Linked DNA regions of Coturnix japonica. The main gene of each other region encodes a partner of the protein of the gene in region 7 in a complex. Links are inferred from orthologs where the notes say so. Each region holds a gene or a part of one and is shown on either strand. Other genes may lie near its edges.

Region 1 (4,107 bases), on a different chromosome or scaffold from region 7:
CCAATCAGAGAAGGATAAGTTGGAACTATGCAGTAGCTGCGGCTTTTATAACATAAGTTCAGTCCTGCTTGCTTTTCTGCATCACTGTATGTGCATCCTCCCTTGAAATCATCTCTTTTGAGGGTTAGTAACTGTTGACAGTCCTGAGGAGCCTCCCTGTGCCCCAGCCTCCCTCCTGCCCACCTGATGCTGTTTGCTTCCCCAGTCTGAGCAAAACCTGCCCACTGTGATACCGACTTGCACTTAGTGCGTTGGATGTTGGATGCCATCCTGGCCTTTATGCTGGCTGTATTTCAAGCTGTCCCAGTGTTAACACTAAACTTGTGTTGAGTGGTGCTTAGAGGGAGGTGAGGACTCTAATATTAGATTATTAGACTTGAGTAAATGAAGTTCACGTGTCAGCATATGTAGCATGCTTAGAATGTGATCGCTGTGTCTGTGAGTGCACCCTGATACTTTGTCTTTACATGTCTGTAGGAAGCACAGTGTATCCAGGCTGTGTTCATCCCTGAGCTTCTGTTATTTCCCCCAGTGCCTTCTCAGTTGGTCTGCAGCCCCAGCAGACCCAAAAGGACGGATAGTTTTGTTTACAGCAGACTGTCACTTTTGATTTTCCTCTTGCTCTTTGTGAAGGTAACTTATCTAGTAACGTATCAAAGATCTCCTGTATATAATTAACTAATAAAGCAGATGCATTTTACTGTGGCTGTGTGCTTTAAAAACAACCGTCAATGCTGCAGCTGTGCTGAGTGAAGGCTTTTACTTCCCCGTGCAACCAAAGGAGACCCAGGAGCTGGTGTCGGTTTGTAAAAAAGCCCATTTATTAAAACAGCCTCGTGTGGCTCCGTTCGGTACCGGGAGCAGCGGCACCGTCAGAACTCGAACGTGCCGAAGTGCGCGGCTCGGACCCCGGCCTTGTGCTGCGGTTTGTACCCGATGCGGTCGTTGATGAGCTGCTCCCGGCTCTTGTGCTCGGCTCCCAGCGCGATGCCCGCCGCCTCCTCGCCGCCCGCCACGTCCGCCTCGTCCCGCTGCTTCTTGCGGCTCTGCGGGGCGGGGGGGCCGAGTCAGGGCCCCGGTGCCCGGGACAACCCCCGACCCCTGCCGGTCCTTCCCCTTCCGTCCCCGCGCACCTCCAGGTCCTTCCGGACTCCCTCGAACTCCTCGATATCGTCCAGTTTCAGCTCCAACCTCGTTGGTTTCCGTCGCAGCATCGCTTCCGCCGCCTCCCGGCCCCTTCCGCTCTGTCACGCACCGCCCGCCCCTTCCGGTTTACCCGGTGTGACCCGCCGCTTCCTGTCCGTCACCGGAAGTGCTCCGTTAGGCCGTCGGGCAGCGCAGTGATGGCGGCCGTGCGGGCACCGGTGGCTCGAGGCGGGGCGCGGCCTGCGGCTGTGAGGGGCCCCGCACCGCCTGAGGTACGGGAGGAGATGGGAAGGAACGGAGCTGGGAGGGCTGTGACGGGTCGGGCTGTGACCGGTAGCGCTGCGGCTTTGGGGTGTTATCACAAGATCCTGTGGTTTCCGTGCCGTGTCCGTTATGAGGTCAGCTCTGCACTCAGCACACACGGATTCCTATCGGTTCTGTCTTTCCTTTGCAGCCCACGAAGAACAAACCGTCCGAGGATGGCGATGCTCCCCCCGCCAAGAGGGCGCCCATCTTCTATGGCAGCCTGGAGGAGAAGGAGCGGGAGCGGCTGGCCAAGGGGGAGCCCGGGCTGCTGGGGAAGGAGGGAATGAAGGCGGCCCTGGAGGCCGGGAACATCAACATCAGCAGCGGTGAGAGCACAGCAGCATGGGGTGGCCTTTATTTAGTGTAATCGAAAGTCACTCCAATAATATCTGAGCATACATTAGGTTTGATAAGGGGAGGCTTTTCCCTGGGTTGCCAGCTCTCTGTTGGGATCTTCCTGTTGGAGGAGGATCTCCTGTCCAGCTCCTGTGTCCAGGCTGATGGTTTTGCTTTGGTGCAGGTGAGGTCTTTGATCTGGAGGATCACATGAGTGAGCGACAGGCCGAAGTCTTGGCTGAGTTTGAGCGCAGGAAGCGAGCCCGGCAAATCAACGTCTCCACGGATGACTCTGAAGTGAAGGCCTGTCTGCGAGCCCTCGGGGAGCCCATCACGCTCTTTGGAGAAGGTCCCGCAGAGAGGAGGGAGAGGTGCTGTGTCTGCCCTTGTGTGTTGCAAAGAGGGAACGCTCAGCTTCCCCCACTTTATCATATTCCCACTGTTTTCCTTGTAGTTGGCGTGCAGCGAGTGCTGCCGGTCTGTGTTTGGTTACAACATAACAAGAAAGAATGGAACACAATGAGTGTTTGTCCACCAAGTGAACGTAACCTAACGTGTTTCCTTTCAGGTTAAGAAATATCCTCTCAGTGGTCGGCACAGATGCATTAAAAAAGACAAGGAAAGATGACGACAGGTCGAAAAAGTCTAAAGAAGAGGTAATGATTTCTCAGTGCCGGAGGAGATTTATACAGTCATCTTTGAATACCTTATTTTGGTGGTCTCTGAGACATTCAAGACCTGGTTGTGGTCAGGGTGCAAATTCTAAAATCATCCCTTTCTTTTTCTTTGTTGCCCATTTTAGCAGAACTGTCAATGCACTGTTTAAATCGGCAGCATTAAGCTTTTTTTTGGCTTTGTTCTTTTCCTTACAGTATCAACAGACTTGGTACCATGAAGGACCACGGAGTCTGAAAACAGCAAGGCTGTGGCTTGCTAACTACTCGCTTCCCAGGTAAGGAAAACTAACATCAATGAAGGGGAGAAGTGCAACATTTTGTAAACTCTTAACTACTAACCACATTGTGGGTAGTGTAGTAAATTTGAGATCAAAAGAATGAAGAACATGTTCCGGTAGACAAATCTGTTAGCCCAGTAATGGGGAAGTGAGGGTTTCTAGCAGCAAGGCATGGGAAATGTGAACATCTGGTACTTGATCTTTGTTCTTCACAGGGCAGCGAAGCGTCTGGAAGAAGCCCGGCTGCTCAAAGAGATTCCAGAGGCAACCAGGACATCGCAGAGACAAGAACTGCACAAATCCCTACGAGTAGGTTTGCCATCTGTTCAACTGCTGCTTGTGAACGTTTTTTCTTGAATTTCAAAGAGATCAGAAGGATCGAGCTGCCTGGAGGGGCTGTCCAGATGTGTGTAATTTGCTGTGCTGCGCCTTGAAGAGCTTTGCATTTTCTCTCTCTTCTAGTGGTACTCGTGTTCTAGCTCTGTTTCTGCAGTTGTACAGAGAAATCTGCTTTTGTTGTATTCTAGCACTGCAGAGGGATGCAGAGACACATCCCTGTGTTGATTTGCCTCTTACCTTTGAAGCTAAACAGATTGCTTCTTTTCAGTCAAAGCTTGAGTTGCAAAGCAGGGCATCAGTATGATTGGTGGCAAGTATGGTGGGTGGCATACTGAGTGCTAAGCTGAGCCATGGAGCTGTGCTAGTTTCTCTTAGTCAGATAAACTCCATAATCCTCCTGCTTGGGGCTAGAGTAGCTCTGAGGTAACATCTCTCTTTGGAAGTGATTTCCCTGTGGTCTCTGACTTCTGCTTCAGTCACTGGCCAGGACTGTCCCTAAGTCATTTGTATTTATTCATTGTTTTCTCTGTATTTTGTTGCAGTCCTTGAATAACTTCTGTAGTCAGATTGGGGACGATCGCCCGCTGTCCTACTGCCACTTCAGTCCCAATTCCAAACTCTTGGCTACTGCCTGTTGGTAAGTTCTCTTCAAAGCATTTACTTTAGGGCATGGTGTCCAGTCTTTTGGCTTGCCTGGTCCGCACTGAGTGTTTCGTCTCTATAAACATTCAGGAATGTCGATGAATGTCAGCAGGTGCCATTTTGTCCTCAAGGAGGAATTCAGTGACACACCTTTTGCTCCATGTGTGTTTCCATGTCAGATGCTGTTTTGTCAGACTGCCACTTTCCCACTGCAGAAGCCCTTGGTGTAGTTTGTTTGATAAGCTGTTTGATGTTCCTGTCTACACTGACTTCTGTTTCTTGTGTTCAACAGGAGTGGACTGTGCAAGCTGTGGTCTGTGCCTGACTGTAACCTTGTTCACACCTTACGAGGTAAAGAATGACTTTCACTGATATCCTGTGTA
Region 2 (3,640 bases), on a different chromosome or scaffold from region 7:
CCTTTTCCTACTGCTATGAAACATTCACCAGGAAGTTCATTTGAAATATTGCAAAACTGTGAACCTTATAAGACTCAGATAGTCTGCCAGGGTAAATCTTGGAAAACTTTAATTAAAAACAAAACAAACAACAAACAAACCCAAAAGGTCACGGCAAACTTACGTACTCTAAAACACCTCAGAACTGCAAAATCACTCAAATGAAGAGTTTGGCAAAATTTGCAGACCCAGTCAGTAACTGCAAGAAAAGAAACACACCCACCAGAACCTGAAATTGACCAAATTCTAACTCTGTTGAGATATCAATGGGCACCACTGTCATTAGACTACCCCTAAGGCTGTTAATACCACAGCTATGCTCAGGCAGCCTGTGCAACATGGACAAAATATGGCCCACATCACCCGCACAAACAGCCTGAGCCAGCACTGCTGCCAAGAGATGGTTGTGTACGACCAGGAAAACTTCCTGCAGCATTGCAGCACACGGTGATGATCAGATGCACTCAGTCATGTAAGCAGCACGAGCACAGCCTGCAGCCCTTACAGAACATCTCTGCAGACCACAGACCTGGGAATGTTACCAAACTCTATGGGACAGCTCAAATTAAATGCACAATGTTCCTCACATCCGTTAACCAGCCTGGATTAGACTCAAAACAAGATAGAATCTAGAAGCAGCAGAGCACGCAGCTCGCAGTGAGGTGAGCAGCAGCGCTGCAGTGTGACCCGCAGGGTGCAGCTCTCGGGGATGCACCACCCGACCAGCACGGGCTGTTCCTAAACGCTGCTCGCAGTGAAATCACTGCAGGGGACAAAGTTCCCATTGGTTTTGTGCTTGCAAAATCCTACTGACTGCCCACACACACACACGGTACCTGGGAACTCAGCGCTGCATTTTCCTCCTCCAATGCAACGCGCTCCTCCCCTTATTGCTCAGTCCCACTGTCCTCAAACACTTCTGTCGGTTTGCTTCTCCTTGTTTGCTTTCTCTTCTCTGCCCTTCTCACACCAGCCCCGCTCTGGTCCATATTAGTAATGACAGATGTCGCTTCAAGTGCACTAACACAGTTACAGGCACGAGAAGCACACGCGGGGGTGTAAATTCTGAGGCCTGGGGGGCAAGCAACCAGGTGGCAGGGAAAGGTGAAGAACTGTGCAGAACAAAGGGGGGAAACGATAAAAACACGTGTTTGCCAGATACAGAGTGCAGCAGTGATATGTGCCTTCACTTATTGACGCACATGAGCTGCCCACAGCCCGCCCCGCACGCGGAGCGCAGCCAGCAGCCGCACCGCCCACAACATGGCGGCCGGGGAGTAACGCCCACAACATGGCGGCCGCCGGTGTCCGGAGCGCCCCGTTGTGCCCCGTGCCGGCGGCGCGGTCCAGCTGATCGGCTGGTTCTGGTTCTCAGCTCGGGATGGAGCTGGGCAGGTTGGAGTACCTGCAGGCCCTCGTCACGGAGTTCCAGGTGACAGACAGCCCAGGTAACCCCGCGTACAAAAGCGAAATCTCCATCTACCACAGCCCCCCTTGCCCCGTTTGACGCGTTGCTTCCCCGGCAGAGGCCAGGCGGCAGGTGCTGGCCAACCTGGCCAACTTCGCCTACGACCCCAAGAACTACGAGTATCTGCGGCAGCTCCAGGTGCTGGACCTGTTCCTCGACATGCTGACGGAGGACGACGAGACCCTGGTGGAATTCGCTATGGGTGAGCACAGCGCTGGGTGCGCCCCGATGCTTTCCCTGTTTCTCTAAAACACAGGTAACAAACCGGGGAAAATGAAAATAAACGCTGCAGCCACACGGCGCCATAAATGCCATCACTGCACTGAGATGGACAGGAGAAAATAAAAGGCAACGTAGGGCAATTAAAAACCCATCATTTAATTCCTGGTACCTTGAAGACCGATTGCCCCCTTACCACACAGGGAAACTGTCTGTGCATGTTGCCTTAAGAAAAGTAGTAAAGATGGAGTGTCCGTCTGCGGACAACTCAGTGCCGGCACCACACAGGTCAGGGCCCAACTGCTGGTACCAACAGACGGAACGTGCTCCAGCTGCTGCCATTCATTCCCAGATGAGGTGCCCTTCAGAGCATGGAGTGTGTCCGGATGAGGCTGCAGAAAGAATCTGTCTTGCATGTGTCAGATGCTTTTTTCGCTATTTCAGGTGGTCTTTGCAACCTGTGCTTGGATAAAACTAACAAAGACTATATCCTGGAGGCCAATGGGGTAGAGCCCATAATAAACTGCCTCTCCAGCTCCAACGAAGAGACAGTCATGTCAGCAGTCACAGCCCTGATGTATCTGACAACGCCGCAGTCGTGCCAGCAGACCACAGCTCTCCCGGTGGTGGAATGCATGCTTCGCTTCTCCCTGTCGGCCAGCAGAAGGCTGAGCAATCTGGCCACGATCTTCCTGGAGGATTATTGCACGCCCCTGCAGGTGGAAGAGGCCAGGAACCTGAGCAAACACACAGCGGTGGGGATTCCTCTCCCGAAGGATTGAAGCTGTCAGAGCAGCTTGGAGCTGCTGCGAGGAGCACCCCCTGTTTGCTCAGGTCTGCACCTAATGCTGAGTAGGTCAAGAGTGTGATGAGAACAGTAAAGCAGGAAATCAGACTAGCATTGGATTTTAGTTAGTATTGAAAAGGACCATACAGCACTATAACAGGCCAAGAACGTGGCTGAAAATGGAAGCAAATATTTTAAATAAAAAAGGTGATGGCTGCTGTGCAGCTCTGAACCAGCTTACAGGTATAACCCTTATAGCAGTTACTTTCTCTGCTCGGGTTATTGTTCAGCTTGTATCACTTCCAGTTCCTGGCTGATTTTGCCACAGCTTTCCAGTGTCAACTCAGATGACTTTGAAATGACCCAAACTTCATCCCTCCTGCAGAAGAAATGCGTTTCCCTGCCCTGGTAATTTGCAATCCTATTACATACCTTTGGTACTATACATACTGTCTTATCATCCTGCCCTAGAACAGGTGATAGCTATCCCATAGGTCAGGAAGCAGAAAGCTGTATTTCCCTCATTACCACTGGTGAGAAAGGTGCAGGTAGGAAAAGGGTTTATGGCATTCAGGTTCACAAGAAAAGCCTTTTCTTAATAAAACATTAACGGAGCTGTTGTGTAAACAGTTCTGTGTAAGCTCGTAAATGTTCCTGTACAGCTCTTGCAGCGCAGCCTCTGCTGCTCCCACTAATGCACGTGGGCTGGGAGTTGGAGCCACTTTGCTCTCCTTTTATGATCAGCCAATCGTGCAAAAGGTAACCTGGAGCCAGGGCGGCAAACTGCCCAAAGGCATAGAACGGGGTGGCCCTTTACCACGGTGCTTCTGAAAGGCTGCGAGTTCCAGAGTTCTGCTTTCTCCCCCTCCACTCAGCTCAAAACACGCCATAGTGAGCTTACACCACAGCTGGCTGTTTGTCTTTATAGTTATTCTTCATAACATCACTGCGGCTCCGGCCGCACCAGGACGAGGCACCGTGAGGTGAACCCCGCAACCCCCGCATGAAGCCGAGCGGCCCCTGGCGGCACCACGGCCCCGAGTGGAACCTCCGGCCACAAGCGGGTGGAACTGCCGGCCTGGCCTTAGTGCGGGGCCAGGCGGCTCCGCTGTGCGCTGCGGGAACCT
Region 3 (3,595 bases), on a different chromosome or scaffold from region 7:
CTCTTAAATGTGTTTAGAGCAAGTCTTCATGCTCCAATTTCTCTCATCCTCAAAGGGCTCTGCCTTCTGGAAAGGGTCAGCGTGGTTCAAGGAGTCCCTCCAATCTCTCAGATCATCGCTACCCAGATGAGAAGGGATCTCCCAAGAAGGTAAGGGGTTTGTCTTTCCGTCTGTGCTGAAGATTGCTTCCTCTGATAGCAATCATTAACAGTGTGATGGCTTACAGATGGTAGAGCAGATATATAGCTTGTAAATGCAGCTGTGCCACACTGTCAGTTTGCCATAAGACCACGTGTGAGGTAGATGGAAGATGAGCTCTGCATGAGCACTCTGTATTTCTGGAAGTCTGTGGAAGCTGTTTGCAAAGATGGCAGCAAAGTGGCTTTGTAACAGAGCTGCCTCTCGTGTAACTTCCCCTTATCATACCTGTGAGTCACTGGGCAGCTCTCAGCCAGCAGTAAATGTGATTCTTGTTTGATTTGCAGGCCAAGATGATGTCTGGGGTCAAAGCTGGTTTGGTGTCAGCTGACGTGCTGCGGAAAGAGCAGCAGGAGCTCAGGAAGCAGGAGAGAAGTAGCAAGCACTTGGAAGGTAAAAGTCTGAAACCAGTGCACAGACATCAGCTTTTAGTCTGCTTTTGGCTGCCTGTTAATGCTGTATCAGGGCATGTCTTAAAATGCTGGTAGTAAGGGTGTTGATGGAGAGTGTCTGTGTTGGCTGGCATCCAGGCATGCTGATGAATATACACAGGTAAAAGCCACTGGGTCTCTAAAATAGAAATTTATGAGTGGTGATTTCAAAGAGGTGCCAATGAGACAATTGTGAGGCTTTTGTGTCTCATCTGCCCCATCTGCTATTCCTGATCTGAAGGAGCAGGCTGTTACACCTATAGCTCATTGCATGAGCTATGGAGTGGTTTGGAAACTGAAATATTCCCACGTGAGTGACTCAGGATATCTGTTATCCCTAGAGGAATCCCGACACACGGAAACCATCTTCCGCGACAAGTCAGGCCGCAAGAGGGACCTTGTGCAGGAACGTCTTGAGCAGAAGCAGAAAGATGAAGCAAAGTTGTTGCATGATGAGCAATATGCCAGATGGGGAAAGGGGTAAGGTGTCTTGGTGACATGTCACTTTACAGGTTGCAGACTGGGGGTTGGCAATGAGTTTTGTGCCTGGGACCAGGTTATTTTGTGTGGGATTACCCTGTCTGTTGCTGGGTGCTTCTCAGGGATGCTACACACAGTAGATTCTGATCAATACTACAATTTGAGCAGATGGCAGTAAATTATTCCTTAGTTTTGAGGTGGTACTTTGTATGTGTTTTTAGATTAGCACAGGAAAGGCAGCAGCAGCAGAATGTGGAAGATGCAATAAAAGAAATGCAGAAACCATTGGCCCGTTACATTGACGATGAAGATCTGGATCGAATGCTGAGAGAACAAGAGAGAGAAGGAGACCCCATGGCTGAGTTCATCAAAAAAAGAAAAGCCAAAGAGAACAAGGAGAAGAAAGGTATGGAAAGCTGTGCTGGTGCAGGTTTTAATGCCCAAGGAGCATAGAAATGCAGCTGCTGTTCAGTGAACAGTGTGAGGTTGCTGTGGCAGCTGAGTCCTGAAGATTGCATTGTAGTAACCAATGTCTGTATTGCTGTTTTTGTCTCTAGAGAAACCTAGGTACAGTGGACCAGCACCTCCTCTCAACAGATTTAATATATGGCCTGGGTATCGCTGGGATGGGGTGGACAGGTAGGTATTCCTGATACACTGATGTCATTGAATGGTAGTAAAACTAAATGAGCTTTTGCCTCAGAGAGCTTACAGTGAGTGAGATGCAACTTATTCAACCTTAACACTTCTCATGGTTATGAATGGCTGGTAGGGACATGCTTGTCTGGGACAAAAGGGAGCCAGGTTCTGTTCTGATCTGTTGTGGCACTGCCTGCTGTTTGCCACAGCTCAGAGTGGAAACTCAGCTGGAGGTGTTGATGCAAAAGTAGTGGCAAACATGTGATGTCATTTAAAAGCTTTGTGGCTTTAGTAGATGTGCACGGTAGCCCATGGTCTTGTTGGTGTTATTTTGTAGGTCCAACGGATTTGAGCAGCAGTTCTTTGCCAGGATGGCCAATAAGAAGGCAGTTCAGGAGCTGGCATACAAGTGGAGCATTGAAGACATGTAGATAGAAGAAATAACCATGTGAAACAGCACGACTGAATTGAGATCTGCCTGCTACCACTGCCAGAGCCAAAAGTAACGGCTCCTCTGCCTGGACCAAGCACTGTTCTTGGCATTCAGTATCCCAGTGGATTGTCTTCTTGGAAGCAAGGCTGTGTTTAGAGGAGAGCTGCTGGAAAAGGATTTTCCTGCCAGCCAGAAAGGACCAGTGCCAAAAACTGGAGTGGCTGCTGCCCACAGAGGAACACTTCTGCTCCCTGGTGTTCCTTCATGAGGTGCTGCAGACACTGGTGTCTGACCCACTTATTTCTTTACTAATAAACTGTAGAAACTGTGTTGAAATGTTCTATGCCAAATGCTTTGTCCTCTGAAGGCAGTTGACAGGTCTTCAGATGTCCTAAATCTCAGGTTTATTTCATGGTGGAAGCATGCTGGGATTTAAGTCATGGAGGGTTAATCCTATCTGGTGTGTTGGCCTATTGCAGCACACGGTTGTGGTTTCAGCTATGGCTGAGTTCTTCCAGAGGGTGTTTTTTGCTCTGAAACAACTTAATACTGTGAGCTGATTTACCTGTGGGCTCATGTTATGTCTGCCCCATGTTCTCCATGTCCTTGCTAATGAGCCCAGAGAGCTTCTGCTTGTTCAATGTTGTGTAACTCTTAACCCTTCTGGTTCCTGGAGTCTTTGGCTTGCAGTGAAGTTAGCACAGCAGAGCTTCCTGTAGCCCTTATGGGAGCTGTGCCAGGTGGGTCAGTATGTGGCAAGAAGCTGCTTGCTGTACATATAACTCTAGTTCTCTACTAGAAATGGCTGAATGAACAACACGCCATGTTATATTTGACAGCAAAGTCTTCAGAAGCTCCAGCAGCTCCTTGGGGGTCAATTTCTTGTGGCAATAAACACGCAGAGGCCATTTAAACTGTTTCCCTTGGCCATTATTTTCTTCAGAGTAGCTAATGGTCATGGATTAGTCCCTACAGCTTTCTCTCTGGACAGCCTTGCTGATGGCTCTTAGCGCTGCTGCCTGGGGGCTCGCTTCAGCACGAAGCATAACCTCTCTCTTGTGATTAGATTTGTCCAGCTTGCAGCTGGAGGCCAAGCAGAGCGCTGCGCTCCATCCCTGATTGCAAGAAAGCATTTCTAACTAAAAACAACGGGTTGGTAACAGACATTGTATGGAAGGGTTACATAGCAACAGCATCGGAAGGTTGTGAGCCTGAGATGCTCTACCAATGAGTGTCACCACTGTACCTCACAACTGAACGCCACCGCTGCAAGAAGAAGCTCCCAAGCTGCTCCACCGGACCCTTTTGTTTAGAGAGCATGGATCTCTTTCTTTATTGTCTTAAGCTGTTTGTTTGGTCTGTTATCTGAGCTTCAGGTGGCAGTTTATTGATGAGCATCCAGATGAAGTGAAGC
Region 4 (3,100 bases), on a different chromosome or scaffold from region 7:
CAACGCTACTGTTTATTATCACGTTGTGCTAAATATAAAGCAAGCTGGCTGATGAGCCCAGTAAGACCCATTTCTCTTCCCTTTTAAGTTGAAATTGAGTGAAGCAGAGAACAAATCTATTAGTTCAGTCAAAAAGTTCGGGGAGTTCCCTCATCTGTTCCCAGCTAAAACACGCTAATTCGCTGCCAGCTGAAGTTTTATCCATAGTCTGGTTTAGTGTTTTGTAAAGTTGCTCCCTGTTTTTGTACATGCTATTCTGTAACAGAATTCAAAATAATTACCAATTACAAATACTAACATTAAATGTTAGTAAGTTCTAACTTAGAAAAAAAAGGTGTTTGTGATGTTTCTGCATTTTCCAACTTGACTTTTTTCAGGTGGGCTTTCCTCCTCTGCTAAGCATTGTAAGCAGAATGAATCAGGTAAGCCTACATCTTAAGCCTTCCTCTTAGAACAGCATAGTGATATTGCAAAAGTCAGTACTTCCTGTGTTCCAGCAGTTGCATAAATCTCAGCTATTTTTCTGTGCTAAGGTGATAGTTTATTTCAGCTGCTATTCAGTGTACACTTACAAGGAAAAAATATTATCTCACCTTTAACTACAGTTATACCAGCAAACATTTACTGTAACTAGATGTAAGTGTATTTTCTCATAATTTCTTTATAGAAATCTCTAATGTTTGAGTGCATCTTTTAGGGGCTTACAGTGTTTAAGTTAAGTTAAATTTAAGTTAAAGTTACATATAATCTCACCCTGAACTGAACGCCATATAGAATTACAGCCAAGTAGAAACATATAATGTTTCTGTATTTAAAGACAAAAATCACATTTGCTCTTTACATAATATAATCCTTTGGGCAGAAGGACAGCAAAACAAAACTCTGTAGATATCGCATTGTGTCTTTATATTTCTCTTTCGAAGGCCACAGTAACCAGTGTCTTAGAATACCTGATAAGCTGGTTTGGAGAGAAAAAATTTACTCCGGAACTGGTAATTCTTAATTTTGTTCTAACTACTTGCATGTGAGCACATGAAACAAGGGATACATTATACTCTCTTCTCTGTGAAATTACTGTAGTTTCCAAATAGTTTTCTAGATCCGTGCACTGTATTCAGTTGTTCTCAAAACTCACCTGACTAGATACTACATTGAACATACGCAGAACTTTCTGAAAGGGTAATTACAAAACAACAGATACAGATCTTTCAGGTACTGCTAAAACTCCTCTGTTTCATTTGTTCCCCACAATAACTTAATCTGCAAGGTCGAAAGAGAGGTGGGGAGAAAAGAGGTTCCCATCATGTTATGATGTGGAAAACCAGTAACCAAAAATCATAAAACCGTGACATCAGGTTAAGTTGTCAGTGTGTAAAACTTCAAGGAAATGCCCATAATTAAAAACTCACTATTTAAATCCACACAGGGTAGATGGTTTTATGCGCTGTTGGCGTGCCTTGAAAAACCTTTGCTACCTGAAGCTCACTCCCTCATTCGACAGCTGGCAAGGCGATGCTCAGAAGTGAGAGTACTAGAGGTAAGATTTAATTTAATGTTCTGCAAAGGACTGTTTTAACTTCACTAATTATCAAGAAAGTGATTTTTCAGCTCTTAAATTCTTGGCATGTTATTTTTCACATTTGAAGTCTGCTAGAAAATGAGAGGAAGACTACAACATATAACATGGCAGGTAACATTTCCCTAGTGGATGTGGTTAACAGAGGAACTGTTCTGGTATTTATTTCTCTTTCAGGAAAACAAGAACGAAGAGCAAGTGTCAGCTCTGAACCTGTTAATCTGCCTAGTTAGCAGGTAATGCAGACTACAGATATAAAATAGCAGAGCATGTCCAGAATAAGCGTGATTATCCTTGTGCTAACATAGATTCCTTTAAAGTGAAAGTCAGTCCAAGCAGTCTGGATATATGTAGCAGACATACTTAGTTACAAGGACTCCAGACAAACTTAAGACTAAAACAGAGGAGACACACTAGTTTTCTTTGGTGATCTCCCTCAATCGTGAAGCTATAAATATGATAGAAATACTAAATTAAAGCCTGGAAAGCAGATAGTTTAACAACTCAGATCAAAGTAAGGAGTGTGTTGCATTAGAGTCTTCTTACTGTATTCCATTTCTCTCCCCTAGGTACTTTGATCAACGTGATTTAGCTGATGAGCCCTCCTAGACTTTTTTGAGAAAACCATTTTGTGTTGCCATAGTACAACCAGCATACAGGTCTGAAGCATGCAGTGTCTTCCTGTGAAGTACAATACAACTTCTTCAGAGCACCCTCAACATAGTAATATATTTGGAACAGCTGTGAATAACGTAAGCTGATCTTTAGCATGAGGGTACTACTCTTCAGTATCCTCATCATAAAATGGTCCATGAATCATCTCTCGTTATCCCTCAAACAACTGTTGTAGTGTAGTAGATTGTTCATTATAAATTTTTACCATCTGAGTAATCCTGTGGATGCTGCCATTAGGTAAAGACTTCTAAGTTTAAGCAGATGTCACAGACGACTGTTCGTTACCTAACACACAACCCTTGAGGTCTTTTTTTAATAAAACTGAAACATACCTTAAAGTGTTCTTAAACATTGTGGCTATTCTCAGTCTTCATAGTACTTAACAACTGCCTTCAGAACTTCAGAAGCCTACACAACTGGGATCCAATGTGTTTTTTTCAGGATATAGTTCCTGAACTTAAATACTACTAATGAAGTACAACTATAGCCAGTGAATTACTGATACAATTATGTTACAAAAACATAAAGGGAGGTAGTACATAGATTTCCTGAGTAATAGTTTGCTGCTTTACAGTGGAAAGTAGCAGAAGCCAGGGGAAAAGGCACAGCTGTACTCAGTACTCTTCAACAGAAGCATCTATTAAACACAATGGACAAACTTATTTTCTGTATGGAATCTTGACAAATACATTAGCTCACCTACTTGACTTAACATATTGAACAGGGAGTGCTTTGCCAAGAATATTGGTGTCTGCTTCATACATACATGATTCTGTTGGGTCCTAATTATCTTCAACAATTGAAAATCCAATTTAAAGGAACTCTCATTTCTGCTGGTAACAGCAGACT
Region 5 (4,262 bases), on a different chromosome or scaffold from region 7:
CTCACTTGGCCACATCTTTGATATTTATACATATGCTAGGCTGGGATGAAACCTCACCTAGAACACATAAGCCTACTTCATTTTCAAATCACAGATGGTTAAAAGACTTGTTTTCCATGATGTTTTCATGTATTTTATATCCCCTCTGTCAGCAATTAACAGTTTTACATACAAAGATACTACTTTCTTGGATGACTGCTTAACTCTTTTAAGAATCACTGTAAGAGCACTGTCTGACACAGCTGGTGGGGTTGCACGACTAAGCTGACTTCAAATTGTATTCTACCACTCCTGACCCAGCTATGTTTTACTCCTCTAACCTGTTAAATTAGGATCCACACCCTCAATGGTCCTATTACAAACTGTAACTACAAAGAAATCTCCCAGATTTAATTTCTGCAGATTTAGTCATTCAATGAAATGCAATTGTTCTGACACTTTTCAACTTCACTTTTTATAGTTTACCAACTTTCAGTGAGTCACAATGGCTTCAGTTGGTGGGGGCCTCAAAGCCCACCCATTTCCAACCCCCTGCCATGAGCAGGGCTGGCCACCACCAGCTCAGGCTGCCCAGACCCCCATCCAACCTGGCCTTAACACCTCTGGGGATGGGGCACCACAGCTTCTCTGGGCAGCTGTGCCACTGCCTCATCAAGTTTTAGTAGTAATGAGCTGTTCCCAATTTTACATCTCAGTTCCTACACAAAGAACAAAGCAATACTCTGCAATAACGAAGGTCAGGCCTAGACTGCAAAGTGAATTTCGTGCCCACTCTGGTGTGCCCCAATTCCTACCAGCATGCAGTCAGTGATAGACTTGTGACTACAAATCACAACCCCATGGGCAAGAAGTGTCAGGGATGCTCAGCCCAGAGGGCTGCTGGCAGGTGCAGACAGAGTTAAGCTCTGCAACTCATGGAAAACAAGAATTCACCACCAGAAGTTGTAACTTCTTTCTCATCACATCATTTCAGTGACAGGCTTAGCATCCTCTCCACATCACTCGATAGGAATCTAAGAAAGAAACAAATCTTACCTTGTTAGACAGCGAGCTTCTCTTAGAAGACGGACTTGGCTTTAGGATTAAACACAAGGTTACGTTAAGGACGCTAACACAGACAGAACAAACACACAGCCACGTGAGGTGAGTGCCCAAAACCGAGAACCCATCCAGGAACAAGGCCGGTACGAGTGCGGTCAGGACGATGGAGACGAAGCAGAGCAGGTTGGCAGCCAGCAGCCTCCTCAGCTCTGCCTCCTTCATGGCGCCGTGCCGCCGGCCACCTGCAACACAGCGAGCGGCACTCGGTCAGCGGGACTCAGCCGCACCAGCGGGGCAATGAGGGCGTTCTGGGGGAGAAAAGGGCTTTTTAGTGGTAGATTAACGACCCTCACGCTCGCACAACGTCCTAGGTCAGGCTCGCCCCGCGGGGCGGCCTAACAACGTGCGGGGCCCACCTGGCCCGTACCCGGGACGCCGGCCGCCCGGCAACGGGATGGCGTCAGCTCCGGGGCGGGTCCGGAAGCGGCGGTTGTTGTGCTGGGCGGCCATGGTGTGCGAGAAGTGTGAGTAGGGTGGGATTGGGGGGATCCCGGCACTAAGCGGGGTCTGAGGGCAGCGCAATTCTAATCGTTTATTTCGTGGTGTTTCTTTCCGTAGGTGAGAGGAAGCTGGGCACCGTGATCACTCCTGATACGTGGAAGGATGGGGCGAGAAACACCACAGGTAGTGTCGGTCGCTGGGTGTTCCCTGCGGGTCGTCCGGAGGGTTCGGGGGGCAGCCCCAAAGCCTGCTGGAGTTACCGGGTTGGCCCTTCACTGCTGTAGTTTCCATTGAGTGCAGTGAAGGGTTGTTTACCTCGAGCTTTTTGGCGTTGAATTTGTCCATCTCATTGCAGCCTTCCGTATTTAAAATGGGATCATTACCGGGGGGGGGGGGGGGGGGGAGAATCAACTTTTTACTTGAATAGGTAATGATAGAATGAGAGGTAATGGTTTTAAGCTCAAAGAGGGAAGGTTTAGATGGATGTTAGGGGAAGCTCTTCACACAGAGTGGTGAGGTGCTGGGGAGACTGCCCAGAGAGGCTGTGGAGGTGGTGAAGACCAGGTTGGATGGAGCCCCAGGAAACTTGGTTTAGTACCAGATCTGGAGGTTGGTGGCCCTGCCTGTGGCAGGGTGCTGGAACTTAACCATCCCTGGGGGGTCCCTTCCAACCCAACACTTTCTATGTTTACATTATGATCTTTCCCCTCATGTGGAAGGATGATATGCAGGGCCTGCCCATGCTATGTGCTTCATGCTTCACTTTGCTCTGATCACACATGCCCACATGTGGCAGTTGGAAGCTGGACTGTGAAATGCATTGCCTTGTGGTTGTATTTTTTTTATAGAAAGCGGTGGCCGTAAGCTGAATGAAAACAAGGCGTTGACCTCAAAGAAAGCAAGGTTAGTATTTAATCCTCATTTCAGCTTAAAAAATAATTCAATTTTCTGTAACTGAGACCTTGCATTCTCACAAAGCAGGGTAATTCCTCAAAACTTGTCCAAAATACAACTTAATTTATTCATTTCTTTTAACATGTTAATCCTTGGTGGCAGTGTGTATTTATGTATTTCATTGGGGCTTTCTGTGGAATTACAGAGCATGGGCAGCTGTATTGCTGTGGGCATCCCTAAAATTGGTAGGAATTGCTGTTTGTGTTAAGAGAGGGGCTGAAAAGGCTGTTTGTCTCTGTTTGTTGCAGGAGAGTTGGACTAGATGACATTTAAAGGTCCCTTCCAACTCACATGATTCTGTGATCTTCCATGCTAACATTACCTGTTCAAACGCTTGAGCATCTCCTTAATGTCTAAAGGATATTCTGTTATGCCAGGGGCAAGCCATTGTTGAAATGTATTTTGACTTTGAAATAGGCTTGTATCTTAAGAACAATGTGTGGTTTTAGTTCATCATTTATTAATTTAATTTCTATAACACAAGAAACCTCTCTTAATGGAGAAAATGGGAGGTTTTTTGTAGAAATTCTGTAGTCTATTAGAGTTGACCTCTTTATGTCCCTGTTTTTGATTGCAGTTTTTGCTGGAGTTTTTGTCTATTTCCTCTCGCATAGCATTTTTAGTATGAGATGAAGGAATTACTTTATTTCACTGTGCATAAACAAAGTACTTCTCCATTTTTCCAGGTTTGATCCTTATGGAAAGAACAAATTTGCAATATGTCGAATTTGTAAGAGTTCTGTCCATCAGCCAGGGTCTCACTATTGCCAAGGATGTGCCTATAAAAAAGGTGAGTTTCACTGAGAACTTTATTACCCCGCTTTGATTTGGAATTAGAGACCAAGTAGAAGTCTTTGATTTTGTTCTGTGAGGAAAAGAGAAGGCTGTGATGAGATTCAGTTACTGTCTTCAGCTAATAATAGGAAGGTATAGAAGGTGCACTGAGCCCCCATCACAGTGCACAGTGATGGAGAAGAGTGCAGAATTCTTTAATTCCATGTGAATAAAATAATTTTCACCATGAGGGTGGTCAAACATTGTAATAACAGGGACTCAGAACCCTTATGAAATCTCTACTGGAGAATATAAAATTTTATCAGTCTTGTGAATTTCAGGGGGCAAGCAAAATGGCTCAAACTTGTAATCCATGGGGGGAAAATAGTGCAACATGAACTCGGTTACCTTCTTACTATTGAAGAATTCACTCAGCACGCAGACATGGGCTGGATGAATTGTTAGATGTAGAGTCACAGCTAACTGGTAGTGATTTTTGTTTATGGAATAATGTTAATTGTTCTACAACTTCACACTGTGTCACTGAGTACATGGTTTGGAAGTCTGCTAACGGAGGGCTGCCTCTGGGTCATTAGTCTTCTCTGTTTCAACTCTCAGCTATTCTTGGTGTCCATTATATTTCTCTCTCGCACACTGTAATTAACTTAATTCTGTGAAACTGTATTCTTCTCAGCTTTCTCAGTTGCCGGTTAATCTTTCATTTAGCAATCAGTTTCTTGGCGCCTGTATTTCCTTAACCTTGCTACTTTCTGTCCATCTCAGGCTACAGGAATTCTAAAGTTTAGTTATATGCTATTTTTACCCGTTTGCCAGTTGGGATCCTTTTCCTGGCTGGCCTCCAGTAGTTCAGCAAATTCGAGGCTTCAGGTGCTGCTGTGAATCATAATGCTCTTAAAATAGAGTTTATTTTTTAAGTGGAAGTGTTACATGTATATTGCAATTATTAATTTGTGTTAAAAATCATATTACTA
Region 6 (3,985 bases), on a different chromosome or scaffold from region 7:
ATGCAATCAGAAGGCACGCACTGCATCTAAGTCAGGACCACAAATATTACATGACACACTAATGGAAACCTCCCATGTGCTGCCAGCAGAAGGGGAGGGCTGAGGTTACACCGCACACAACAGCAACAGGGCTTTGTACAGCTCAATGGGATCTCAGTATCAACCTGAGCCTCCAAGCGGAACCAGCATCAATATCTCCCCATAATAACCCTCCTGAAGGCTCCCACAGGATCCTAATGCACTTGTTGTTTCTCCATATATAAGCTATAGATGTGAGAGCACCAAACAGGTGTTTCATTGGGATGGTTTCAATATGAATCACACCAGCTTTCCAGGTACCCCAATGTAACCAAAACCTCTCGTTCTGAACCCAACTGAGCTGCCCCCTCACTCATCCTCCACACCGACCCCCAGATCGATTCCTTGCATATCAGATGAGCAACTTTATGGGTAGCACCAAACCCAGCCTCAGCCACCCCACACCCAGCACAGGGTCCTGCCGGGCACACAGCACTGAGCCCACCCTGCAGACCTTCATGGGGTTGCAATGGGGTCTCAGTGCGACCATCAGGGGCAGATCCAGCACCATCAGCTCTGAATGTTTGAAGCAGAGACCACCCCCCAACCCCCCCGGGGCAAGAGATGGGACAAATACAGCGGGGACCGGGGGGGGGGGGTATAACCGGAGGGGTCTGTGACACGCCGCAGCCCCGTCGCGCCCCTCCCAATCCCCGTACACCCCCACCAGGACCCCGACACCCCCATGTGCCCCTCACCGCCCCCTCCCAATCCCGCATCCCCCCCGTTGAGATAATGGAATCAGAGCCCACCCTGCCGTCCCCTCCCCACCCCCCGGTCTCGTTCCATCCGCCCGTACCCGTTACCACCACCGCCCTCCGCGGTTTCTCCATCTCCGCTCCCGCACCGCACTGAGCGACCGGCCCCGCACGGTCATAGAGCGCGCTCCGCCCCGACGCCCAGAGCGGCCCCGCGCGGCCATAGAATACGCGCCGCCCCGAGGACCAGAGCGGCCCCGCGCGACCATAGAGTGCGCGCCGCCTCGCTGCCTAGAGCGCCTCCTGAGCGCCGCTCCGTGCCGCTTCCCGCTCGGCGTTTCAATTTACGGCACTGTCGTGACGCTGTGCACCGCCAACCTCGGCGATGCTTTACGGCCGAGGCGGGTCCTGCACGCTGATTGGCTCCGCGAGGACCGCGCCGAGCTCTGATTGGTCCCGTGTGGGGCCGGGGGTGGTTTGAGCGGCAGCGCCCGGCGCGGCGGCGGCTCCGCGGTTCCGGCACGATGGTGAGTGCGGGAATGGGCCGGGCCGGGCCGGTTCGGTTGTCCCGGTACTCCCTGAGCCCCTACATGGGGATCCGAGGCGGTCCCGGTTCCCGGTTGTTGAGGCCTTTCTCTCTTTCCCCCGCAGCTGCCCCTGTCGTTGCTGAAGACGGCGCAGAACCACCCTATGGTGAGTCCCGGCCCACTCCCGCTGCGGCCTATGGGCCCGGTGCCGCCCCGTCGGGTCCCGTTGGGTCCCCGTGCCGCCCCGTCGGTCCCGGTTCCTTCATGCTGACCCCCCCCCTTTGCTTCTTCCAGCTGGTGGAGCTGAAGAACGGCGAGACGTACAACGGGCACCTGGTGAGCTGCGACAACTGGATGAACATCAACCTGCGGGAGGTCATCTGCACCTCACGGGTAACCAGCTCAATGCCAGGACCCCCATTGCGCCCATAGACCCCCTACTTTGAACAGCATCAAAGCAGATCAGGAATGAGTTGTCCCCATTGCGCCCATAGACCCCCCCCATTGCGCCCATAGACCCCCCATTGCGCCCATAGACCCCACATTGCTATCAGCCCCCAGCCCTGCAGCTGAGTGGGACTCGCAGAGATCCTCACCCTTCTGTGTGTGTTGCTTTTGCTTTGAATGTGAATGTAACGCAGTTATGAGGTGTAAGAAACGAATGAGCCCATTGACAGCAGGGTGAAGGTGCTCAGTGTGAAGGGCTGGTGACAGGTCCTGTCCCATTGCCCGCTCCATGCAGCCCCATCGAGCACAGTGCTGCCTTTCATCATCACCTGCCTCACGCCCTGTAACTCCACATCAAAAGTTATTAGGGCCTCTTGTTTAACCGGGTTGTGCCTCGTCTGCTACTTTTGCCCATGGCCAAAGTGCTCCGAGAAGAGATTGGGATCTGTGCTTTGAGCTCTGACCTCAGCCTCAAGTGTCTGGTCTTGTCCCTGGCAGCCTGTGCCTGGCCACGTTCCTGCTGCTGCTGCTGCTCTCTGTGCCTGGGAACATCACGGGTCTGTGGGGGAGGCTGTCAGGGAAACCCTTCTTCTTCAGGAAGGGTTTCTGTGCCTGTTGGACCCACAGCAGGAAGGTATTGGCCAATAGTGCTGGGGCACGGAGATGTGATGTGTGTACTTAAACAAAGCAAAGGTTTAAGAAGGATCATAACAGCAGAGCAGTGAGCCCTAAAAATCTGGATCCACAGATTGTTGGGGCAGATAAACAGATAAGTTCAATGGGAAGGGGTGGCAAGTGGCAAAGCCTTACTAGTGCTTGCAGAACAAGGGATGCCGGCCTTTAATACTGCTTCCTCATTAAGCAGCTTTGTGTTGCTGTGGGCAGAGCACTTCAGCATTTATACCCACCGAGTGGTCTGCAGTTCACTCCCCACCCCTAAATACCCCCTGGGTGCTACTGGGGGGGTATATATGGAAGCCTTCCTGGTGGCACGGTGGGGATCAGCCACTAGATGGCATGGAGCTGCGGCAGCTGTTTACATGGGGAGCTGGAACGAGGAAGCCGGGGACCTGGCTCCATCCCTTCCTGCATAGAGAGCCAAAGTGCAGCCGGGCGGATCCAGGCAGGGTGGGGTTTGCTGGGTGCCTGTTTGAAGAAGGCTGCTTGTCTCACACACACGGAACTTGCCTGTGCATGCTGCATTGCCCCAAATAACACCGGAGCAGAGGAGGAGGGGGGTACAACTTGATTCTGGAGAGGTGAAACGAGGCATTCTGGTTTCACCCACTCCTCTGGGATGTTGTGGACACTCTGTCCATGTGTGATAGTTGTGAGGAGCCTGTGTTCAGCCAAGCCCTGCAGCAGAGCACGGCCGTGCGCACGAGGTTCCATCCCTCCTCCCGCTTACATCAGTTGTTGTTCAACTTTCACATGCAGTTCCTATTCCCACAGCCACAGGAGCTGAAGCCCTGATGGGCTGTGTCCTAGCAAAGCCCTGAAACTGCCTTAAACAAAACACAGAGGCAGCTGCTCCGTAACTTGGCACCCGAAGGTTTCTTTGAACGTGATCTGTAAGCTCTTATTTTCCACAGCCGCGGTTCCTGTGCGCTGCTGGGCTCACCCCACACCCAGCTGGATGCTCCTCGCTGCTCAATCCACACCACAAAGGGGTTCAGTTTGTAGGTGACTCTGGTTGGGGCTTTATGTGCTGGAACTGCCCCGTGTTGCAGCAGCTGTGTTGAACTTACCACATTTCCCTCTCCAGTCCCACTTTCGATTCTCTTCTTGTATGAGAAGCAAAGGGAAGGTGCTGTTTCCTCTTCTTCCTTCACTTTCTGTGAGAGTCAAAGGCGGTTGTGAACGGGCTGAAACTGCAGTGGCTCATGGCTGAACGCCCCCTGACTCCCCAGCAGGTTGTAGGGCTGCGTGTTTTAAAGGGAAAACAGGAATTTCACAGCTAATTATGGGTTGTACATTCAGAATAGACTATTACATCTGTCGCACGCTTCAGAAGTGATGGAGATATTCAAGTGTCAAAAAGCAACTTAAGTGCACGTGGTTTTGTTCTCAGCTTAACACGTTGCTTCCCAATAGGATGGTGACAAGTTCTGGAGGATGCCAGAGTGTTACATCCGTGGCAGCACAATTAAATACCTTCGGATCCCCGATGAGATAATTGACATGGTGAAAGAAGAGGTGGTCTCCAAAGGCAGAGGCCGTGGTGGGATGCAACAG
Region 7 (3,979 bases):
GTATATATGTTTATATATGAGTTCCCATTCCCTGTTATACAGCTGTCCCTGATGCAGCAATATCCCAATTCCCACAGTGCTCCCCATTCCATCCTCACAGCTACAGGTGGGATCCATACACACAGATAACGGTGACTGAGTGCCACCCCATCACACAGCACGACCCTCCTCACCCCATTACCCCCCTCAACACATTATAAGGAGGGAACCCCCATTGCCACATATGGGGGATTCCCTTTACACAGGGTCCCCATAGCCCCCTATGGGGTTCCCCATCATTACACAGGCCGTCACCCCCATATTAACCCCCTCAACACATTATAAGGAGCTCCCATTGCCACATATGGGGGGTTCCCTTTACACAGGGTCCCCATAGCCCCCTATGGGGCTCCCCATCATTACACAGGCCATCACTCCCCCATTACCCCCCTCAACACATTATAAGGAGCTCCCATTGCCACATATTGGGGGGTTCCCTTTACACAGGGTCCGCCATAGCTCCCTATGGGCGTTCCACCATCATTACACAGCCTCACCCCCCATATTAACCCCCTCAACACATTATAAGGAGCTCCCATTGCCACATATGGGGGGTTCCCTTTGCACAGGGTCCCCATAGTTCCCTATGGGGTTCCCCATCATTACACAGGCCGTCACCCCCCATTACCCCCCTCAACACATTATAAGGAGGGAACCCCCATTGCCACATATGGGGGGTTCCCTTTGCACAGGGTCCCCATAGTTCCCTATGGGGTTCCCCATCATTACACAGGCCGTCACCCCATAGAGACGCCCCACGACCCCCCCTCACACCTCGGCCTACACCTCAGGCCTCCCCCCTGCCCCCACACGGGGGTCTCATCCCCCCCACACCCCCTTTAGGCCCCGGACCTGGACGAGCAGCTTGACGTAGAGCAGGGGGTGGCTGACGGCGGCGAGCCCAGCGCCCAGAGCCACGAACAGCCCCTCGGTACCGTCGGTTCGGCCCGGTCCGACCCCAGGCCCAGACCCGCCGCCAGGGGGCGCCAGCGCCACCGAGGGCAGCGGAGCTTCGCCCGCCATGGCCCCGCCGCCGCCACCACTGCGCATGCGCCGCCTCTTTGCGTATTGGTGGGCGGGATCTTAATGCGAGACAGCACTGGTGGGATCTGCGAGCAGTAGAGACGCGGTCCTCCCGCTTTCCTAGAGCGGCAAGTCTTCCAGCGTCCCTTGCGCGTTCCCGCCTTGCTCAGCGGCTTCCGGTGTTCTCTGCGACTTCCGGCGGAGCTTGTGGTGGCGGCGGGCAGGGAGTAGCCATGGCGTATCGAGGGCAGGGCCAGAAGGTGCAGAAGGTGATGGTGCAGCCCATCGTATCCTTGTCCGGAGGGGCAGGGGACGGGCCTGCGGGGCCTATGGAGCCTATGGGGCCTATGGGGCCTATGGGGCCTATGGGGCCTGTGGGGCCTATGGGGCCTATGGGGCCTGTGGGGTCTATGGGGCCTATGGGGTGTGTGGCCCTATGGGGGAATCTATGGGGCCTATGGGGTCTGTGGGGCCTTTGAGGCCTATGGGGCCTGCGGGGTCTCTGGGGCCGAGTGGGACCTTTGGGACCTATGGAGCCTGTGGGGCCTGTGGGGCCTGTGGGGCCTGTGGAGCCTATGGGGTCTATGGGGCCTGTGGGGCCTATGGGGTCTCTGGGGCCTGCAGGGCCTATGGAGCCTATGGGGTTTCTGGGGCCTGTGGGGTCTCTGGGGCCGAGTGGGACCTATGTAGCCTGTGGGGTCTATGGGGCCTATGGAGCCTATGGCGTCTCTGGGGCCGATGGCGAGTGGAGGGTAGGAGCGGCCCTGCAGGGCCTTGTGTCTCTCTGGAGTTGTTCCCGTCCTTAACGCTGCTCTACAGAACCTCATCTTCCGCTACCTGCAGAACGTGAGTACTGGGGCCGGGGCAGGGCTGGGTTCGCCTTTGGGTTTGTAACTTCTTGGCTGCTTTTGGAGCCCATCGGCTTCAAACGAAGAACTGGTGCTGTTTGGGAGCATAAGAGCTGGCTCAGAGATGAGCGTTCTCCCTTTGCATTAACACCTTTGTATGTTGATTGTGCCCCTGTGTGTGTAACACACACTCAATAACCCACACCTACAAGGTTCTGTGTTGGGAGTTGCTCTTTGGGGTGTTTCAGAGCTGCAGTGGCTGTTGGTTGCAAAGATTTCTCACCACATTACTAGCAAGGCTTTCTTAAATGCACAGAAGCAAAGACCAGCATTGCTTGAAGCATTTCTTTTCCAGTTTATTCACCCTGATTGTTTTGCAGAGGTCCAGGATCCAGGTGTGGCTTTATGAGCAGGTGAACATGCGGATAGAAGGCTGCATCATTGTGAGTACCAACATGTCCATGTGTTACCATTGGCTTTCCCACGTTCATGAGTCTGTGTGCTACCAACTGAGTGTTTTTGCCACTGATTTTCAGGGCTTCGATGAATATATGAACCTGGTGCTGGATGATGCAGAGGAGATTCACTCCAAAACAAAATCAAGGAAGCAGCTGGGTATGTCAACGTGTTATAGCATGAAAGGTGGTTGGGTGAGCCTTGCTGGTAGCAACACTTAAAGGTGGAAAGCACATGCCAGGTGTTGGTTTGGGAGAGCATTGGGCAGGTGCTGGCTCAGTCTTTGTTCCTGATGTTTGTTAAAGGTGATGATTTTGCTGAATGTAAAGGAGAATCTCCCTGTGCCTGAGACCAGTTGTTATCTTTTAAATGCTGTCTTTGTACAACTGAGGTGTCTGGAGGAGTCTGGTCCAAACTCCTTTGGGCTGTTTCTAAACTTGGTAGCCCTGAGCAATTCTCGTACCTGCTGGGTCAACTCTTGGCCAAAGCAGGAGCCACCTGACTGGTGGTATTTACTATTTACCGCTGCTGGAGAAGATAAAGCTGTCTGTGATGAGGGGATGCGTTGATTCGGATTGAGTTTATAGCAGGGACAGTGTTCTGCTGGGGCTGAGATGGTGTCTGAGAGTTGGGAGTGGATTATGAGTATGGACCCTGCCCTGCTATGCTTTCCATATGGGGCTGCCAGCAGGGATAGGACTCATTGCAACCCTCCCCCTCTATAATAGGGGCATCTTCTTGCAAGCATCTCCTGTTGTGGGATAATATGTGAAAACATGAGGTATTCTTGGATTCTGGGATCTCTCTAATCCCCCATTTCCTTTCTGTGTTGCAGGTCGGATCATGTTAAAAGGAGACAATATCACTCTTCTACAAAGTGTTTCTAACTAGAAATCGCTGTTCTTAGGGCAGTGATTGCAGTTCAGAATGGTTTGGAGTGAATGAAGAAGGTGCAGTGGGAGATCTACCCCTGCTGGTAGATAGAAAGTTACATGTAACTGGCATTGCATGCTGAGCTCAAAGTCCCCTCCTTTTGTAGGAGTGATTTTTTTTGTAGTCTGAAACAATAAGGGATGTATTTCCCAAATAAACATTTTTCACGTTGTCTGTAAACGGAAATCTGCATGGTTTTATTCTCAGCTTTCTATGCTTGGAGAAGGCAGAGAAATGTACATCAAGTGATTTGCTGTTGGTCCGATAAGTTCCTGATAGCTCTGTGCTTTTTGGGTAGTTACAACATGAGACAGGACAGGCTCTGGTGTCACTGTCAGGCTTGAGCATGCATGGCTCTAATTAAGTTTGTTAGAGGTTCTACGTGCAATTACCACCCTTTGTTGTCAAAACAGCTGGTTCCTTGGGTGCTTTCTGGTGGATCAGTGGGTTGGTGATGGATTTGAGGCTGTGATACAGTGATCCGACATCACAAACTATATTAATAGCTGTACTTTGGTAAAATATCATCATTAGATAGGGCAGCTGGTTGGGATTAAATCTATAATTTCTTCTTTGGGCAGCATCTCTGCATTAAATCCTAGTGCTGGGATGTCAGATGTGGCTGGATTTTATCACTATTATCCATGTAAGGATCTGTCCTATTTAAGTTTCCATAAGTG

The links.
Region 1: SNRPE (region 7) and PRPF4 share a complex: the UniProt entries of both Homo sapiens proteins name them as parts of the U4/U6-U5 tri-snRNP complex. The link is inferred for Coturnix japonica from reciprocal best matches to the Homo sapiens genes SNRPE and PRPF4.
Region 2: SNRPE (region 7) and ARMC7 share a complex: the UniProt entries of both Homo sapiens proteins name them as parts of the minor spliceosome. The link is inferred for Coturnix japonica from reciprocal best matches to the Homo sapiens genes SNRPE and ARMC7.
Region 3: SNRPE (region 7) and BUD13 share a complex: the UniProt entries of both Homo sapiens proteins name them as parts of the minor spliceosome. The link is inferred for Coturnix japonica from reciprocal best matches to the Homo sapiens genes SNRPE and BUD13.
Region 4: SNRPE (region 7) and GEMIN2 share a complex: the UniProt entries of both Homo sapiens proteins name them as parts of the SMN-Sm complex. The link is inferred for Coturnix japonica from reciprocal best matches to the Homo sapiens genes SNRPE and GEMIN2.
Region 5: SNRPE (region 7) and CRIPT share a complex: the UniProt entries of both Homo sapiens proteins name them as parts of the minor spliceosome. The link is inferred for Coturnix japonica from reciprocal best matches to the Homo sapiens genes SNRPE and CRIPT.
Region 6: SNRPE (region 7) and LSM4 share a complex: the UniProt entries of both Homo sapiens proteins name them as parts of the U4/U6-U5 tri-snRNP complex. The link is inferred for Coturnix japonica from reciprocal best matches to the Homo sapiens genes SNRPE and LSM4.

What each region holds. Positions count from the first base shown.
Region 1 is NC_029532.1:813,639-817,745, reverse strand, and holds the start of PRPF4 (U4/U6 small nuclear ribonucleoprotein Prp4), read left to right. Parts: upstream 1-1,307; 5' UTR 1,308-1,343; coding exon 1,344-1,418; intron 1,419-1,600; coding exon 1,601-1,778; intron 1,779-1,972; coding exon 1,973-2,159; intron 2,160-2,356; coding exon 2,357-2,444; intron 2,445-2,660; coding exon 2,661-2,740; intron 2,741-2,958; coding exon 2,959-3,052; intron 3,053-3,624; coding exon 3,625-3,719; intron 3,720-4,016; coding exon 4,017-4,075; intron 4,076-4,107. Other genes in the region: anaphase-promoting complex subunit CDC26, read right to left, coding at 873-1,046, 1,134-1,214. UniProt on the Homo sapiens protein: Plays a role in pre-mRNA splicing as component of the U4/U6-U5 tri-snRNP complex that is involved in spliceosome assembly, and as component of the precatalytic spliceosome (spliceosome B complex).
Region 2 is NC_029533.1:9,330,758-9,334,397, forward strand, and holds ARMC7 (armadillo repeat-containing protein 7), read left to right. Parts: upstream 1-1,297; 5' UTR 1,298-1,420; coding exon 1,421-1,487; intron 1,488-1,565; coding exon 1,566-1,709; intron 1,710-2,170; coding exon 2,171-2,508; 3' UTR 2,509-3,140; downstream 3,141-3,640. UniProt on the Homo sapiens protein: As a component of the minor spliceosome, involved in the splicing of U12-type introns in pre-mRNAs.
Region 3 is NC_029539.1:4,398,579-4,402,173, reverse strand, and holds the end of BUD13 (BUD13 homolog), read left to right. Parts: intron 1-55; coding exon 56-149; intron 150-485; coding exon 486-591; intron 592-970; coding exon 971-1,109; intron 1,110-1,330; coding exon 1,331-1,515; intron 1,516-1,666; coding exon 1,667-1,748; intron 1,749-2,085; coding exon 2,086-2,179; 3' UTR 2,180-3,095; downstream 3,096-3,595. UniProt on the Homo sapiens protein: Involved in pre-mRNA splicing as component of the activated spliceosome. As a component of the minor spliceosome, involved in the splicing of U12-type introns in pre-mRNAs.
Region 4 is NC_029520.1:34,106,523-34,109,622, forward strand, and holds the end of GEMIN2 (gem-associated protein 2), read left to right. Parts: intron 1-377; coding exon 378-422; intron 423-923; coding exon 924-992; intron 993-1,426; coding exon 1,427-1,537; intron 1,538-1,701; exon of another isoform or gene 1,702-1,753; coding exon 1,754-1,812; exon of another isoform or gene 1,813-2,145; coding exon 2,146-2,185; 3' UTR 2,186-2,600; downstream 2,601-3,100. UniProt on the Homo sapiens protein: The SMN complex catalyzes the assembly of small nuclear ribonucleoproteins (snRNPs), the building blocks of the spliceosome, and thereby plays an important role in the splicing of cellular pre-mRNAs.
Region 5 is NC_029518.1:23,889,933-23,894,194, forward strand, and holds the start of CRIPT (cysteine-rich PDZ-binding protein), read left to right. Parts: upstream 1-1,462; 5' UTR 1,463-1,495; coding exon 1,496-1,565; intron 1,566-1,659; coding exon 1,660-1,725; intron 1,726-2,390; coding exon 2,391-2,445; intron 2,446-3,182; coding exon 3,183-3,286; intron 3,287-4,262. Other genes in the region: PIGF (phosphatidylinositol-glycan biosynthesis class F protein), read right to left, coding at 1,036-1,263. UniProt on the Homo sapiens protein: As a component of the minor spliceosome, involved in the splicing of U12-type introns in pre-mRNAs. Involved in the cytoskeletal anchoring of DLG4 in excitatory synapses.
Region 6 is NC_029543.1:3,006,002-3,009,986, forward strand, and holds the start of LSM4 (U6 snRNA-associated Sm-like protein LSm4), read left to right. Parts: upstream 1-1,185; 5' UTR 1,186-1,300; coding exon 1,301-1,303; intron 1,304-1,427; coding exon 1,428-1,469; intron 1,470-1,597; coding exon 1,598-1,696; intron 1,697-3,844; coding exon 3,845-3,985. Other genes in the region: PGPEP1 (pyroglutamyl-peptidase 1), read right to left, coding at 878-911. UniProt on the Homo sapiens protein: Plays a role in pre-mRNA splicing as component of the U4/U6-U5 tri-snRNP complex that is involved in spliceosome assembly, and as component of the precatalytic spliceosome (spliceosome B complex).
Region 7 is NC_029541.1:2,016,117-2,020,095, forward strand, and holds SNRPE (small nuclear ribonucleoprotein E), read left to right. Parts: upstream 1-1,189; 5' UTR 1,190-1,295; coding exon 1,296-1,349; intron 1,350-1,881; coding exon 1,882-1,908; intron 1,909-2,290; coding exon 2,291-2,353; intron 2,354-2,446; coding exon 2,447-2,525; intron 2,526-3,201; coding exon 3,202-3,257; 3' UTR 3,258-3,479; downstream 3,480-3,979. Other genes in the region: MTCH1 (mitochondrial carrier homolog 1), read right to left, coding at 892-1,089. UniProt on the Homo sapiens protein: Plays a role in pre-mRNA splicing as a core component of the spliceosomal U1, U2, U4 and U5 small nuclear ribonucleoproteins (snRNPs), the building blocks of the spliceosome.